Rattus norvegicus: one gene and its partners. The protein of the gene in region 3 interacts with the protein of the main gene of each other region in a pairwise test. Links are inferred from orthologs where the notes say so. Each region holds a gene or a part of one and is shown on either strand. Other genes may lie near its edges. The genes, in order: Pllp, Mall and Ms4a12.

Evidence for each region.
Region 1: the proteins of Ms4a12 (region 3) and Pllp interact in binary tests that used the Homo sapiens proteins (3 or more experiments, as listed by UniProt). The two-hybrid records come from large-scale screens. The link is inferred for Rattus norvegicus from reciprocal best matches to the Homo sapiens genes MS4A12 and PLLP.
Region 2: the proteins of Ms4a12 (region 3) and Mall interact in binary tests that used the Homo sapiens proteins (3 or more experiments, as listed by UniProt). The two-hybrid records come from large-scale screens. The link is inferred for Rattus norvegicus from reciprocal best matches to the Homo sapiens genes MS4A12 and MALL.

What each region holds. Positions count from the first base shown.
Region 1 is NC_086037.1:10,318,582-10,324,727, forward strand, and holds the start of Pllp (plasmolipin), read left to right. Parts: upstream 1-2,498; 5' UTR 2,499-2,713; coding exon 2,714-2,848; intron 2,849-6,146. UniProt on the Homo sapiens protein: Main component of the myelin sheath that plays an important role in myelin membrane biogenesis and myelination. Plays an essential function in apical endocytosis. Regulates epithelial development through the regulation of apical endocytosis.
Region 2 is NC_086021.1:135,400,280-135,406,347, forward strand, and holds the start of Mall (MAL-like protein), read right to left. Parts: upstream 3,788-6,068; 5' UTR 3,758-3,787; coding exon 3,647-3,757; intron 1-3,646.
Region 3 is NC_086019.1:217,307,509-217,312,928, forward strand, and holds part of Ms4a12 (membrane-spanning 4-domains subfamily A member 12), read right to left. Parts: exon of another isoform or gene 3,870-5,420; coding exon 3,732-3,869; intron 3,206-3,731; coding exon 3,149-3,205; intron 1,247-3,148; coding exon 1,130-1,246; intron 415-1,129; coding exon 304-414; intron 123-303; coding exon 15-122; 3' UTR 1-14. UniProt on the Homo sapiens protein: May be involved in signal transduction as a component of a multimeric receptor complex.

The DNA of each region.
Region 1 (6,146 bases), on a different chromosome or scaffold from region 3:
GCTGACACAGATGGCTGGCCAGGTATCCCCTTCCTCCCTCAGGGATCCATGTATGTCCCTCCTGAGCTGCACCCTCAGTGGAAAAGGGCAGCCCCTCCCTGATAGAGCCTTCCCTTGTGGGCATCTGAGCAGGCGCATTCTGCTACTAGACCCTCCAGACAAACTTTTAAGAAACAAAAGGGTTGCTGGACATAGAGCCTTGGGCATTTGGCCCGGTGCTAGTGTATTTGTTTATCGTGTTCAAGACTCGGGGCTCAGTCCTTGGCACAGTGTGAACTGGTATTTATAATCTCAGCACTTGAGAGGCAGAAGCAGGGCAAAAATCCATCATCAGACACATCAGAAGTTCAGGGCTGGCCTGGGTTACATGAGACTTTGTCTTTAAAAAGAAGACTCTTGCTCTCTTCCTCTTACCCTCTCCCCACTTTGTGCCTTCTCTCCCCATTCCCTTCCCCCATCTCTCTCCGTGTGCTCATGGGCGGCCTCTCTACTCCTCTTCTACTTCTTCCTTCTCTCTCTCTCTCTCTCTCTCTCTCTCTCTCTCTCTCTGCCCCCACTACCCTCTTACATCCCCTCCCCATGACCTAACAAACTCTATTCTATACTAAAAAAAATAATAATAATAAAGAAGAAGAAAAGAAGAAAAAGGAATCTTTGCAGATTGTTAGTGACTGGCTGACTGAATAAATATTTCAAGTTCCTGATTTGAGGATACTGAACTGTATTATCTCGTAGGCAATATCGTCATGACCACATCCTTACAAAAGAGATGGGGTGGGAGTGTAGATCTTGTGCATAGGAAGAGGAGAGCTGACTGACGATACATAGACAGGGCTAGATAGGGTACCAGAATCCACTGATGGCTGGTCACCTGTAATCCCAGCGTGTAAAGACCTGACCTACACGGAAATGTCAAAAGCATGAAGTCAGTTGGGTGACAGAGCAATCCGGTCTTAAAACAAAATGTGAGAAAAAAAATAACTCCAGAGGTTGCCTGGCCTCAGGACATCACGGCTGTGTCTCCATGATGCTGCTTCTGCGTATCTAGCCTCCATCACTGAGAGGAAACTTTTGTTACTTTAAGGCCTGGAGCATGTGGTAAGTTGTCACCAGAAGCCACAGGATAGTACAGTAGTCTGCATAGCCTCTGTGACTTGGTCCCTTCTCACTGGGGGCCAGTGTCACCCTCATGTGCTCAGTCCCACTGGGGACCTGCTTTCTATTTCTCCATCTCCCTAGGTTGGTCCTGCTACAGGGCCTTTGCACAGACTCCGCCCCTTGCTTACGTCCTCCCAAGGTTTCCTCCTACTCACAAATTCGGGCTTCTGCACAGGTGTCATCCCTTCTGATAGGTCTTCCTTGACTAATGTGCTGGTTGATTTTGTGTCAGCTTGATACAATCCAAGAGGAGGGAAGTTGGCTTGAGAAAATGCCCCCCCCCCCCCGTAAGATTGGCGAAGGCAAGCCTGCAGAGCATTTTCTTAGTGATTGATGGGGGAGGGCCCCACCCATTGTGGGCGGTGCCACCCCTGAACTAGTGGTCCTGGGTTCTACAAGAGAGCAGGCTGAGCAAGCCAGTAAGCAGCCCTGCATCGGCTCCTGCCACCAGGTCTCTGCCCTGCTTGAGTTCCGGTCCTGACTTCCTTCAGGGATGAACAATGATGTGGAAGCAAAAACCAAATAAACCCTTTTCCTCCCCAGTTTGCTTTTGCACAAAGGTCTATGCACGTGACTCCTCATGTCTGTGCAGGGGAAAAGATTTTCAGGGCACACACAGCAGTGAAATCCAGTATCACCCCTCATCCCAAAGTCAAGCCTCTCTGCACAAGACTTTGAGTGTTCTCAAATAGTTCTTCAAAGTGGATACCTGTACACCCTCTAGGACAGAGAAGGAGCCACTGTTCAGCCCTCTCCAGGTTCTAGATTGTCAGTTGCTACCTGCCGTGCTGGTTGGTTCCAGGGACTTGCGTTTGCACAACTACACCAGAAAAGCCCGCTACCGCTACCGAGTAGCTCCATTCCTGGTCCCCAAACCATTTCGTATTTTTAGCTCCCTAATATCTGGGATTAGCGTGTACCACTAGACTAGTTTTTGTTTCATTTTGTTTTGTTTGTCGTGTAGACAAGGTCTCATGTGCCCCTGGCTAACCTGGAATTCCCTATGTAGCTCAAGATAATCTGAATTCATTCTCCTGGCCTCTGGCGGGGTTTACAGTCACATGCTTCTCTGCCCGACTTAGGTAGTGTTAGCTAGTTAGTTAGTTAGTTTTGAGACACTCTGTAGGTGTCTCACCCTGTAGCCCAAACAATCCTGGAATTCATTATATAAGCAGGCTAGCCTTGGATTTTCAGTCGTCCCCTCTCCTGCACTTGCCCGTTTTTCGTTATCTGTTTAGAAAGGAACCCGCCTGCAGTCCAGGAAATGACTCCACTCCACTCTCCTACACTGCGTACCCCGAGGCGGGTAGAACTCCCAAGGACGCTTATTCACAGAGACCTGCCCAAACACCAGCACACTAGGGGTTCTTCACGATCTCTATCCAGAGCAAACAGGCGAACCGAGGGTTAAGGGGCGGGGCCTCTTCGAGGGGCGGGGCCTCGGGCGGAGCGGGGTCGGGCTTCGCGCACCTGTAGGTTCTGTCTAGGGATCCGCTGTCGCAGCCCCGGAGCAGCGCCGGGAGCGCGTCCCGAGCGTCGTAGGCTCGCGATCGCTATGGCGGAGTTCCCGTCGAAAGTGAGCACCAGGACCAGCAGCCCCGCGCAGGGCGTGGGAGCATCTGTGTCTGCGATGCGACCGGACCTGGGCTTTGTGCGCTCCGCCCTTGGGGTGCTCGCGCTTCTGCAGCTGGTGAGCGGGGTAGCTCGGGGACTGGATGGGGAACTCTCCGGGGACCCCCGGGACGCACACTTCCGAGATCGTCTGGAACCTTGCACCCTGGGACGGTCGTGTGACAGCCCTGCGAGCACAGCATGACTCCTATGGAGGGGACCTACACACCCTACTCGGGTGGTTCCCGCGGCGACGCCGCAGCTGAGATTGCAGCTCACTACAGTCCGCCAGTCTGTCCCTTTCCTTCTGCCCTGCCCCCTTCCCTCTAGGACCGTGCTCTGGCTTTCTCCGCCGGGCAAAGTCCACTGTCTGCCTCTTCACCCGGCTTTAGCCACTAAGTGCTTTGGCTCTGCAGCCCTCCTGGACAGGGCAGGACACCACATCGGTGGCCCTGACTCGCGCGCTCCCTCCATGGTACCTGCCCGGGGTCCGTGGACCAAATCTCCTTCCTTGGGCTGTGGAGATTGGCAAAGGCCAGAAACCACGTGCCTGCCGTCCCCGGTACTCATCAGGCCCCACTAGGTGCATCCTAAGATGTCAGCTATCTTTTTTATAGTATCTTCCTGGAAGGGTCTGGAGGCCTGTGGCTGCCTCTGGGGAGCCCTCTGCATTAACTGAGATCCACTGGCAGAGGAATAGGGTAGCACTGGAGGTGGCCGTCTCTGTCATCCCTCCAATGGGCACATGGAGCCAGGGTGCCAGGCCAAGCTAGGGAGTCGGGAGACCTGCAGTGAGACTAGGTCTTTCCTGCCCTCCAGGGGAGTGGCCATGTCCACCTAGGGCATGCTATCTTGGTTTCGAGATTTCTGATCTTCCTTAGTGAGCCTTCGCCCTTCGCCCTCACCCCCAACCCCGCGCCGTCTTCTCCCTGGGTTTGTTTAAGATTCTGATTCTTGGGCCCCACCCCAGGGAAAAATGTGAAACCGCACTTTAAATCTTCAATAGCGCACCAAGAAATTTGCATTTTAATGTCTTCTTCCGGAGTGGTTTTGGGCTACTGTTTGGTTTTGATGAGATCAGGGAAGATAGCTCGATGCCCTCTTCTGGGACCAATTTAACTCTGCAGCGTAGACACAGTCGACCCTGGAGTGTTGGGCTCTTGGCGATTGGCTTGTTTGTTTTATTTATTTTGTTTTATTCAATTCGTTTCTGTATTTTTTTATTTTCTTGAGACTGGGTCGCATATAGCCCAGATTGGTCTTGAATTCTCACTTAGCTATTGCTGGCTTCAAATTCCTTATGTAGGCGAGGCTAGCCTTGGACTAGATTTTCCCAAGTGTTGTAATTACTCTCGGGCGCCACCCGGCACCACTACTCCAGGGTCTGCAGCTGGTTTCTTTGAACCTCACACCCGAGAGTCAGCTTTGGGCTGTGGGCGGAGCTAAATGGTTTGTGAAAGGGACAGAGAGGAGAAAGGTCTAGGAGGGCTTCACTGAGGGGCTAGAAAGGCTAGCTTTTGAGCTGGGCCTTCAGTGGAATGCGAGGCTGGGGTAGTGCGGGCAATGCTGTGGGGACAGCAGACGGCTGAGTTGAGTGAGGTAGGGAAAGAAGGCCACAGGCTGAGCAGGAGATGAAGCATCTTTCTGGTCTGGCCAGGAGCCCAGCATTTTATGCATCTAGGGCCAGAACTGGGGTCTTGGTTATGTTGGTGGCCTTGGGAGGTTTTGGAGCATGAAGATGTCAGGGTGTGAAGTGATAGGTGCCCTTTACTCCCTACCTCCGTCCCTATATTCGTTCTACAGACCTCACTTGGAGACTATGCCAGCCGCTGGTTCCTAAGATGTTTCTGTGGCAACCTACTCCACTGGGGCCAAGAGTGGGGAGGGGCCAAGATAGGCACCATACCTGCTGGAAAGCCACAACTGGAGGCTGGCTAGGTGTTTTTTGTTTTTTGTTTTTGTTTTTTGTTTGTTTGTTTGTTTGAAAGACTGGGTCTCTCCACATAGTTTTGGCTGTCTTGGAACTCACTTTATAGACCAGGCTGGCTTTGAATTAAGAGTTTTGGGATCAAAGGCATGCACCAGCATGGCCAGATTTGACTAGAATTTTCTTCTCTTAGCAGATGAGAAAACAGGCTCAGAAGTTTCTTTCTAATCACTCCCATCCTGGAGAGCTGTTTTCTGACCTCTCCGGCCCCTACTCATATTGGTTTGCTCTTACAGTGTGGGGTGTGACACTTTAGAGGAAGTGAGAGAGGCTCCATGCCTAGTGCCAGGCCCCTGGGGATCAGGAAAGGCTGCCTGGAGGAGGCGGTAAACTGAGGCCACTGGCTCTGTCTCCTAGGGTATAGAGAGTCCTGCAGTGGTAGAAAGATGGATGAATAGCAAGCCCAAGCTTCCGGAGCAAAACATAGTTCTTCGTTTAGCATGGTGGTTCGCCTGCAGAACCTGACATCTACAGACACCTGATGGTCTTTTTACTACTCCATAACTTTGCCCACACCCATCTAGCTCCAGAAAGAATATCAGAGGGTGCTGTTAATCATTAAAACAGAAGTTAGTGTGTTTCTAAAGCCTGGCTTGAGAAAGCTAAGAAAAGACCTAATCTAGCAGGAAACCTGCAAGTTTAAAATGTTGGCTCCCAGCTGAGCTTCCTAGTAACGAAAGCGAGTCTTCGCAGCTATTGTCTAAACAGGCAGGTGAATTTGACCTGGAGACAACTTTTTGCTTTATGTTACAGTTCTTTGTGAGGCAAGGGAGAGGAAGGTGCTGACAGGCACCTGAGGTGCATCCCAATGAGTTTAGAAAAACTTTGAAGAGTGTGGGGGTGAAGTGCTCATATTTGTCTTTCCTTTCTTATTTTGTTTTTGTTTTTTGAGACAGGATTTCTCAGTGTAGCCCTACCTGTCCTGAAACTTGCTCCACAGACCAGGCTGGCCTCCAACTCACAGAAATCCTCCTGCCTGTGTGTTCCAAGTGCTGGGATTGAAGGTGTTCACAAGTACTGCCGGGCTCATATTTTTGCTACTTTTTAACACATGTCCCCTCCCCAGCTTTGGGACAAGGGATGATCTTACCTGGGACTTACTGATAAGCACAAAGGGACTTGAATAGAGTCACAGGACGGGGTTGGAGGGAAGACAGCAAAGCTACTGCCCATGGGTAGGACTTGCACTTAGAGCTGGCTGTTTGACGACTGACTCCATCAATGTCTCCTGCTGCCTTTAAATGAGGTTCTGGGGTTCCTAGATGACCTTGCAAGAGAAGGATGACCTCTTCCGGAAGGGGAGACTCAGCCAAGACTTTTGGGGAGGGCTTCCTGGAAGAGGTGAGCTCTTACGAGTCTGTCTAGATGATTGGGGTTTTAGAAGAGGGGT
Region 2 (6,068 bases), on a different chromosome or scaffold from region 3:
CTACTGTTCTACCCAGCAAGTTACTCTTAGGTGTTTCCCCTCAAAGAAGTACAAATGATGCCCCCAACAGAAACCTGAGCAAGGCGCCAAGAGCAGTTCCATTTGAAACTGCCTACGTCAGGAGACATTCAATAGAGCTGGGCTAGATTACGGTGAGTCCTTACCAAGGGCTCACTCAGCAATAAAAAGGAGCAAACTGGGGGTTCAGACAACTCAGATGGACACCAAGATTCACGCTTCACAGGACGAGTGGGTACCTAAAGGTCGTGTACTGTTCAGTTACATTTCTGTACATAACTTTCTTGAACTAAAATCATTATCGTGATTTTTTTCTAATAGACTGTTTGGAATAGCAAGGGAGTGGGATGGGTTGGGGAAGTCTAGAGAGTAGCAAAAAGGGGGCTTTGGTGTTATGGGACAGTCCTGAACCTCAGTTGCTCTCAGACAAATCTACTCTAAACATGAGATCTGTCTTCCCAACCTCAGTTTCCTGGGTTGAAAATAATGCTAGTTAGATGCGGGGACTACAAGTTCCTGTGAGAACAACCACTACCACAGAGTAAAATGTTTTAATGTGAATTTTAATGCTGAGGAGTGGGAGATAAAGCATTGTAGGCAAAGGTCAAAGGTCACTAGAGTAGGCTAGGGGGAGCCTGAGTAACCTTTGCTGTCATCTTCAAGAACCACGAAGAGCTAGAGGCTGTACTTCCTCTGCAGTCAAAGAGGCCCATGATTAGGGAGAGCTTGTCCGCTTTGATCTGACAATGAATCTGCCCACTCTTGGTTCTATGTGAACACACACACACACGCACACACACACACACACACACACACACACACACACACACACACACACACACAGTGGTTAGGAGAGGTCACTGTAGACACCATGTGCTGATATCACCCCGAGCTACCCCATGAGGAATCACTGTGCCCTAGCTCTAGGGTTCTGCTTTCTGTGCTCTGCAGAGGTGTCCTGGCCTCCGTGCTTTCTAATGTGTTCTATATAGACTTTTGTCTCACACCAGAAGACTTAGGGATCAGGGGTGCCTGGAGGCTTGGTGCTTTCACACTGCCCCAGTAGACAGCAGAGCGAGAATACATCAGATCACTAGAGCCAAAAGAAGGGCTTTGGACAAACTCATCCCGCACACATAACATCTTCCCAGCTTCTTCTGCCCATGACATCAAAATCTTTTCCCCCACCTTCTCATTTCCTTCCCCATCCTCCAAACAGGCACACATCATTCTGGAGTCCTTCTAGGCATGCTCAGAGCAGGTACAAGCAGCATGTGCAGAATTATGTACTCAACACAAGCACACACTCAGATACAGACATACACACTCACACTCACATACTCACACATACATGCACACACATACACTCATACATTGCACACACACTCAGATACAGACACGCACTCATACACATACACACATAAATACATGCACACACACATATACACACACTCACGCATACATGCACACATATACACACACTCATACACACTCAAATACAGACATGCACTCACACACATACACACATATTCATGCACACACTCACACATACAGACACTCACACATATGCACACATATACACATTCACACACACTCAGACACACACTCACACAGACTCACACACCCCTTCACATACACACACATACACATGCACACATGCACACATATACACACTCACATATGTGCACTCACATACACTCAGATTCAGACACACTCACAGACTCACACACCCCTTCACACACACACATACACACAGCACACTCACATATGTGCACTCACACACACTCAGATTCAGACACACACTCACACACACAGATTGAAATATCCCTTCACATGCACACACACGTACACACAGAGATCGTGCATGTGCTCCATCTGTGAACACATTTCTGTGTTTTCTAAGTTTTCATCAATGAATGAAGATGGATTGCAAATTAAAGCGACAGGGACAGTGAGCGAGCGTAGAAGTCTAACTACGACCAGGGTCCGCAATAGCCGACCGACCGTGCTTTCTCTAGAAGACGGAGACGAAGGCGGAGGAACCTCCCGGGATTAAGGGGAAGGACAGCCAAGCACAATCAGGAGCTTTGACCTGGATCCTGGGCTGGGGGGAGGATATTAGTGGGGAAATGAGCAAGTAGGACAACAATGGTCAATGGCGGAGTGCTCGTGTTAACTTCCTGGCTTGGAGAGACCTGGGGGTTCAGAGTGAGGAACAGACTTCCTGTGCGGCCACTATGGCTTTAGGAGAAATCTAAAACTATTTAAAAGTAAGTCAAGAAAATCAAATCAATGACAATGACCTCATCCCCTCGAAGTCCCAGGACACCAGGAAAGTACTTTTCCAGGAATCCAACTGCAGGAGGAGAGGTGGGGACACCTGTCAGCGCCTCTAGTGACAGTTCTCTACCTGACTGCTTTCCTGCCTCCGGCATCCAGTGTTCTTCCAGTGGCAACTCCCAGTGACAGGACTGGACCCTCACTCATCTGGCTGGGACACCATGCTGCATTCTAACTGCTCAGAAAATGCTCCCAAGCCTCTCTCTGTCCACAGAGACCCCTGGCAGGTAGCCACTCCGCTGACCATGATTTTCGTGACTGACAAGCATTCTCTCAATAGAATTCAGCAGAGCCATCCTGCCATCCATGTGGCTGTTCCAAAGTGAGGCCCACACCCAGGGCCTGGCACACAGAGCTCAGGACGTGATCAGCCTGGCAGGATGCCCACATTTGTGGGGGGTTGGCGCTGGAAGAAACCTGCCTCTTAGGTGGAGTTTCTATCAAGGCCACCTACCTGTGGAACCCATAAGCCTGACTTCCCTTTCTTGATCGACAAGAATGGCTGTTGGTTAAGCAATTTGCCTAAAGGTCACTCAAGGGGACCTAACCTTCCACGGAAGACCAGGAGAAGGGAAAGGGTTGGTCACACCCATTTTATGTAAGCAGTCCTACTCCAAGTCTCCCTCCCAATCCAGAGGCAGCATGGTCAAATTCAGGGCTAAGAAGAAAATTTCACCCACAAACTAGATATTACGGGAGGCTTGGCGGGGAGTGGGGGAGGTGGATGAGAGCAGGAACCAGCCGAGGGACCTGTTTTGTTTTCTACTGAATGCACTGCTCAGTGCAGGCATGGACTAGCGCCCAGTTCTGCTGTGTGGTGTCCCAGAGTCGGGCAGCAACAAGTTTTCCAGAGTAACCTGGGCGGTTCAGATTGTTTTATGGATGATGCTGTCAGGAGCTCCCTCTGGCAGGGAGTACACATAAATCAAAGTTCAAAGTCAGCTGATGTGATTTGAGAAAATGCTGGGAGACCTTCTTTCAGAAGGCCCTTAGAGAGTCCCCTAGTTCTTTGAACTTTAGGAAACAGCAAGGGGGAAAGAAACCAGGTAATAGAATTTTCTTAGGGGTCTGGGTAGTCTAGAAGGTGGCTGGACTCCTCCAGCAAGCGAGTGGCCTGGGGATGGCTCTTCAAGCTTTGGGAAAGAGGAAAATTCGCTCTATTGGAACCTAGTCTGGGACACGGGAAAAGCAGGAGCCTGTAGCTAGCTGCCTTTCCCCATCCCAGTTACAGAGAGGTTCCCGGTGGTTCCGCCCCTCCCTCCCCGCAGGTGGGGGCAGCCACACTCACCAGCTCCGGTAGGAAGAAGGCATAGGGGATGGTGAGGAACAAGGCGGCGACCCCCGAGGGCACTTCAGGCGGGGCGTAGCTGGTGGCCGGCGGTGTGTCCCGGGAGGCCATGCTGTCACCTATGCTGGCGTCCTTACTCCGCGGCACTCGCCCGCGCCCGCAGCTGTGCAAGAATCACCTCCCGCCCGCCAGACACACCCATCGGCCAGAGGGACGTCGTCGCCTGGGAGGGGAAAAGAAAGGTTCCAGTGGATCAGGTCCTTCTGTGTACTGTGGCTAGGCAAGAGAGGGGACAGACCAGCCTTGCAGAGGCTCTTTCTATCTAGACCTCCCTGCTAAGGAACTTTTGAATGCTGGAGCAAATGACTCCAGATGATATGAGTGACAGTGTGTGAATGGAACAGCTTTGTATGCCCCTGATGATCTCTGTGCTCAGAGTGTAAGCAAGGGCTCTTTTTGCTAAGATAAAGACCATTTTATTGAGGATCTACTGTATGGTTAGCCACCTACACACACATCTGGAGCTCAGACAGACCACCACGTGTCTATGTTGTACCTTTCCAAGAAAGGAGACTAGAAAGAGGTGCAGTTAGGATCACAGAGCGGTCACAGCAGCATCCGCCTTGTCCTCAAATTCTAATGGAAGGATTGGAGCAGCCTGGTTTCCACCTCCCCTCCTCAGGGACTCTGAATTCCTCTTGGTTCCTCCTCTTGATGTCTTCTTAGTCAGTTAGGACACAGGATTGGAGCCAGGCAGTTCCTTCCTGAGTAGAGCCTGGGGCTGGCTGCACACACACACACACACACACACACACACACACACACACACACACACACACACACACGTCAGGTCTGGAGACTGGGTCACTTTCTTCTTTACCAACCCACTAACCTTCATTTTTTTTCCACCACCCTGAGGAAAAAGTCTGGCGCCCCAGAGTCGTCTTCCTTCCCTCTTTGGCTCCAGAAGGCTAGTTGGAAAGCCTCCTCAGGAGGAGAGGAGGCATGGAAGAGTTGCCCCAAGGACTGGGGGATGTCCTGCACAAGAGCCCTGTGTCTTGTTTCTTAGCAACAGCAGGGAACTCCTGGGCAAGCTTGGAGAAGTAGCCTGTTAGCCCCACCTGGTCTGGAGCGGCCAGCAGAGTTTGGATACACGAAGCAAAGCTTAAAGCCAAGGCATTGCAGGGAAAAGCAAAGGTCTCCTCAGCAAGCTTCGAGCCAGCCTCAATCTTTTCCAAGTTCTAGAGCTTATAGTTCATATGCTTCAGTCCCCACGCTGCTGGCATCCGAAGCCATCCACCTTTTGTGAATGCCATACATAAGCATTATGCATTCTTTGGGGCTCTGACCCCCTTTGACGTGACCGTAATCTACATGGGGCATCAGGAACAGCAGAGTAAGAAGTACACACAGGTTCCAAGGATTCGACTCCGGTCATCAGGCTTGAGGGACAGTCAATGCCTCTACCTGACAAGCCATCTCACTGGCCTGGAAAGCATGAATTCTGAGTAGACTGTGAGGTTAACCATGCCCATTGAATCCTAGAGCAGCTTGTAAACAAATTCCAGGGACACGAAGGCACACAGCATCCCCGGTGCTCTCTTCGATGCTAGCCTCAGTCCTGATTCACCGAGATCCTGTCACAAAGGAATATGTCAGAGCACGCTAGAGCACACATCTGTATATATACATATTCACATACTGTCGACTCACAGTGTGCTGTACACACACACACACACACACACACACACACACACACACACACACACACACACAAGTTCCAGCAAAGGAAAATTCTACCAGTAGGGAGCTGTGGGTAGTCAAAATGAAGGAATAGTGACATGGATGGTAAGTATGTGGGCAAAGTATTACCATGGTCCAGAGCAAACAGTGTACTCGTATTTGGTGATAATTTTAGTTTGTATGTATTTAATACAGTGACCTCCACACGGGGCAAGAGAGAGGTAAAGGGACCATATGACGATAAGGTTTCTGTAGTCTCTCTGAAGTGGATTTTTTTTACATATTTTAATTTCACCTACTGTTAGTGTGTGTGTGTGTGTGTGTGTGTGTGTGTGTGTGTGTGTGTATGTTCATGGAGGTTTGCCATTTTACAACAGTTTATCTCTCTAAAATTTACCTCAATTCTTGTTTGTATTATGTTTCCCTGTTGAAATGGTTTGTTTTCCATTGAAATAGATTTACTCTTACTTCTTTTTTTTTTTTTTAAGGATTTTATTTTATATGAGTACACAGTAGTGGTCTTCAGACACACCAGAAGAGGGCATCAGATTCCATTACAGATGGTTGTGAGCCACCATGTGGTTGCTGGGAATTGAACTCAGGACCTCTGGAAGAGCAGTCAGTGCTCTTAACCACTGAGCCATCTCTCCAGCGCTTGCCCTTACTTCTTGGAACATGG
Region 3 (5,420 bases):
ATTCTTCATGCCTGTTACTGCCTAACAGCATAATCTGGAACGTTGTCATATATAGGAGAAGCTGGGGACGACTCTTGCATCAAGTGGTTGGCCGCATACACAGTTGGAGCAACCAGGACAGACTAGAAAGGGTAAGAGAAAACAAGCAGAGTCGTTACACAGTTCAATCACTCTCCTCTGTTCCAGCAGAGTGGAGAACAGAGAGCTCGGTAGTCAGCTCCCAGTGGGGCTTGGCAGACACTCAAGTCCACACTTCTCCAGCAAGTATTCAGATTCTTTTTACAAAGAAGAGAATCAACTCACTCTGTTGCCATGGAGGATAGTTTGGTATGCAAAGTAGGCCGTGGCCCACGCTATGCTGAATTCCAACAAGGAAAATATTGCCAGCACACCTGCAATTCCTCTCCCAGAAAGCTGAAATCATAAACAAATAGACTGTTAGGCTGAACAGGAGGCTCTTCAGAAACACCCTGATTCATCGAAAGTGCTATCTTGCTAATGTTCAACTCACTCTGTGAGTGACTTTCTTTTTTTTTTTTTTTTTTTTTGGAGCTGGGGACCGAACCCAGGGCTTTGTGCTTGCTAGGCAAGTGCTCTACCACTGAGCTAAATCCCCAACCCAACTTTCTTTTTTTTTATAACAGCAGTGAGACTGTTCCCGAGAAAAAAAAATCATTTATATTCCATTATTCCTAAGTAGTTTATTTGCTGAAAGAAAAAGTCTTCTGCTATTTAAAAAATCAAAAGACATTTGTATCTCTCCTAAATAAGCATTTGATGACAATAGAGAAATAATCAGGGGGTGATTGCACACGCAGACAGTCTTCCTGTTTTCATGGTAAAAAAGCCACGTAAGACATGGCTATTGTATTTATGCAGAATTTCAAATGCAGAAAAAAGAAATTCTTCTCTGTATCTATTGAGCCTGTGATGGTGATGGGGTGGTTGTTCTGACTTCATCTATCTGCAAATATAATTTTTCACTTTGTATTAACAATCACATCCCTAGGAGTAGGGTTAGAAATGGAACTTTCTCAACAGAACCACTGTTTAATGAATAGGAGACAGCAATGGATATACTCTAGTAGTGAAAAAGGAACCGTCATGTGGCCAATGGAAGGACACTTACCACCATCCAGTAGTCTTGATAATAGTGGCCATTATTGTTCAGATCACACAGAAACAGAACCACTCCAACAAAGGCAGAAATGATGCTAAAAATGTTTATTATCAGGGTACTCTTCACCTAATAGAGGTAACAAGAACAGTAATCCATGCAAAAGGCAAATGAATGTAAAGGGAGTGGGAGTCTTTCCAAGTTAATGTTTCTTAATTGTTGGCATCTTGTTTTAGTTTTGACTGTACTGAGGATTGAACTCAAGGTTTGATGCATCCTAGGCAAGTCCTTTACCACCGACCTATATCCTTACCATGAAACAATATTCGAAATTGATATAACATCTTTCTTCTGCCCTTCTGAATAGTTGTGAAAATTACACTGTATTCCAGCTATCAGTCCCCACCCCCCAAGAAGCTGTAAATATTTTAAGTAACAGAAATATGAGACAATATAAATGTAATTTGAAGTAGAATGCCGTCCAACACATTTATGTAATGGCATTTGTTTACAATAACATCTCCATGACATAACTGGAAAATGTGTAGGGAGTGAAAGACTTGGGAGCACTCATTTCTGCATGGAACATCTTCATCAACCTCTTAAGGCTCAGGGTCTATGGGGAAGATCTTGTTATCCACCCTTCTCTCTCTCAAGACAGAAAGAACACAAAGTTGGGTGGGTAGGGAGGTTGGGAAGATCTGGGAGGAGTTGGCAGAATGAAGAGAAAATATTCAAAATATATTTTATGAAAACTGTAAAGAACTGAAAAAAAACTCTACTTTAAAAAAAACAAACTTAAGGGCTTTTTTTAAAAATTGATTTAATTTTATTTTTTATCTGGGTGTTTTGCCTGCATGCATATCTTTGTAGCATGAGCATGCTGTGCTCACGGAAGCCAGGAGAGAGATCGAATCCTCTCCCCTATGAATTATACAGAATACAAGTCACTGTGTGAGTGCTGGGAATGAAACCCTGGTCCTCTAGAAGAGAACTTAAGTCTGCTCTTAACTAATGATCTACAGCTGCAAGAACAAACTTTTAATTGGCATTCTGTGATAGATATTTTGTTAAATATTTAAAATGATGTAATTTTTAACTCTTACAGCCACTACACATGGGATGGTCCTAGTATCTGACTTTATACATTCCTATCTAGTTGTACAATCCCAAGAGGTAGAGTCTCTTTCTACACAGCCTGTGAGGGATGTGACCTATATAGAGAAGGATGCTCTGTTTTGTTTTGGATTACAATAGATGCAACTAATCAGACTAGGCTGATTTTAATTCTAGCATAACTCACTGTTTTATCTTGAGAGCATGAAAAATATGATTCCATGTTCCTATCTCCCTCCTTTGTTCTTGTGCATGATCTCATATAATATTGAGACCATTTCTGGTCTAGGTTTATGCAAAAGATATCTTTCTCCTGGTTTGCTACTAAAGTAGGAAATTATAACATGGGGCATGCTGAGGCTGGGAGAACCGAAGTCCAGTCTCTGTGGTCATTTCTATGTGCTCTTCCTTTCCTCTGAACTGGTTGCTCTCGTGGCGATTTAAAGAACTGACAACAGAGACAGTCTGAGTAACAATAGGAGTTACACACCAGTGAAAAGTGAAAATACAAGATGGAGCTGAGGAATGGCAGTGAACACCAGAACTTTGTTGTTCAAGTGGCTTATAGGTGGTTGGTTTTGGCTCCTAGATTCTTCCTTGGTTTTCCCTGAATGCCATGTGACCCAACAGAACCAGTGTGCCAGCACGTGAAAGCTTAAATAACACTTGCCTTTACTGATTCCCTCTCTTGTGCTTTCAAGAGCATGAATATGGTGCTCTGCCTTTCCCAGTAGCAAACTGAGTGCTCTGTTCCCCTGCTCCAGCACAGGCACTGCCCAGCGGCTGGCAGATATTTTGAGAAAGAACTTCTTTTCATCCATACTCTTCTAATCTATCATCTCAGGTTTTCCTTGAAAGTAAATCAAACCAATCTTTAAAGGAATTTGAGAAATTGAAATAAGTTTTCTAACTTACCAGACAGTCAGAGAACTTCTTGAATGCTGATACGGAGAGTGAGCCAGAAACAATGAACTGTAGACATAGAGAAATCCGTGAATCGTAGGTTCTCTGCTTGCACCTGGGAATGTCTCTTTGTACTAGAGATTGGTCCAGTTATGTTTGTTTGCTTGTTTCCCTCACACACAGCATACTTTTTTTCTTTAGATTAACTCTTGGGGATACACTCTAATTCCCCACCCTCATTTTCTTGCATGTAAAGGACTTGATAACAGATGACTCGACTGTGCATGACAGCCTCCTACTCAACTTCATCTCATTCTCAGTCTCATCTTGTGAACGCTCTACCTTCCACATGTTTTGGATCATCCCCTTTCAAGACCCTCCATCCTATACCTTGGCTTTGTATTAGGAATGAGTTTAAGCTGCAGTAGAGTTAAGTCTGAAGTGGGGAGTGGCAGCCCCCCCTTTCTGATCAATCAGAGCTGTTATTTCTAAAAACTCTCTAGCCATTAGACACAGAACTTTCCAAGAACTTGCTTTGAACAGGCTGGGGACACCTACTCCTGCACAGGGAGAGTTGTCCTAGCAATCTACTCACAAAGACTCCACCCCAAAATGGATATCCACCAATAAAAGCAGTAGAGTAAAATGCCCAAGTCATAGAGTAAGAGGTGCTCAGTAACCCAAGAACAACTCCGAAGCCAATGTGCATCAATCCAATTGTGATTTGCACTCCCTGAAAAAGAAACCAGAGAGACATTTTAAAATAACCTTTTTATTAGTAGCCTGTGAAATGTTACAACCAAAGTCATTCCTTTTTATTCACTGTCCATGTAACCAGGATCCATGAGAATTCACCTAAACAGTTAATATTTTGATGTATACTGAAACATCAGGGGAGGAAGGGCTTCAGGTAAAACCTTTGTTTGAGGGGCCAGTGAGCTGGTTCAGTGGGTAAGGACATTTGTTGTCTTGTCTGATGACCAATGTGTGATACTCAGACCCCGTGTAGTGGAGAGAACTGAGTCTTTCAAATTACCCTCTGACCTCTATGTATATGTGCATGCATGCACACCCGCACTTGTACACATACACGCACGTATGTAATAAACGTTTTTAATAAATTTTGTTTGATTTCTGCATGACCTACAAAGAGGTCTTTAGGAAGTGTGACTACTTAAGTACCTCCTAGTATCCTTGATGAGTATATTTGTTCATAGACTGCTGTGACCTGAGTGACAGCGACTGTCTTGTATAAGTAAAGCAGTTCTCTGTCCAGGCAATGCTAGTCATGAGAAAAGGAATCAGTAGAAACCAAGTCACTCCTAGAATATTAAGCACATGCCGGATAACACTTTAAACATCCTGCACGTATTATTTCAACATGTCACTGTGCCAACAACTACATGGAGACACAAAGCCATAAGAAATCAAGTGCCCAAGGCACGCCCAGAATGCATGACCCGGGACTGACTCCAAAACTCATTTACAACCTGTCCTTTCTGGCTCAGCTTGGTTCCATCCATTCTGAGTTGCTCTGACTGTTATACTTGTCAAATGGATTTGCTTTTTCCTCTGTGAATTCCTCTCACATTTTAAGATGTAAAATCCATGGCATTACTTGCTTTTATATCTCATATTTTTTTTTATTTCAAAAACTATTATTTTATTTTCTGCACCTGGGTATTTTGCCTATATGAATGTCTGTGCATCACAAGTGTGCCTGGTGGTGTTCAAGGATGTCCAAAGGGGTTTGGGGTCAGATACCCTGAAACTGAAGTTACAAGCAATTATGAGACACCATGTGGGTGCTGAGAATGGTAATGTCCTCTGCAAGAGCAGTGAATGCTCTCAACCACAACACGGTCTCTCCAGTCCTTGTGTTGCTTGCTTTTTTTAAATGCTGGTATACAACCGTTCTCATACCAAGTAAGAGATATTTTACCAGTGCTAAGGGATAAATCTTTTACTTTGTAACTCTTATCACAACTTTCGTTGTAGAGTACACATGAATTTCTGAGAAGCAACAGTTGCTATATTGGTCCAAAGCTCAGAAACATATCCATAGTTCATTTTGTCCCAAGTTTATGATTATATCTTATTTATCCAGGAAGACTGTAGTCACAGAAACTTCTGTGTTTATTTCCTCAGTGGATAGGTACCACGTAAAATTAAATTGAATTAAAGGAAAAATAACAATTTCATAAATACTCTAAAACAATAATGTATTGTTGAAATACACTGAACCTTGTAAAAGCAACCTTGGGGGTGGAGTGTTTATTTTTGG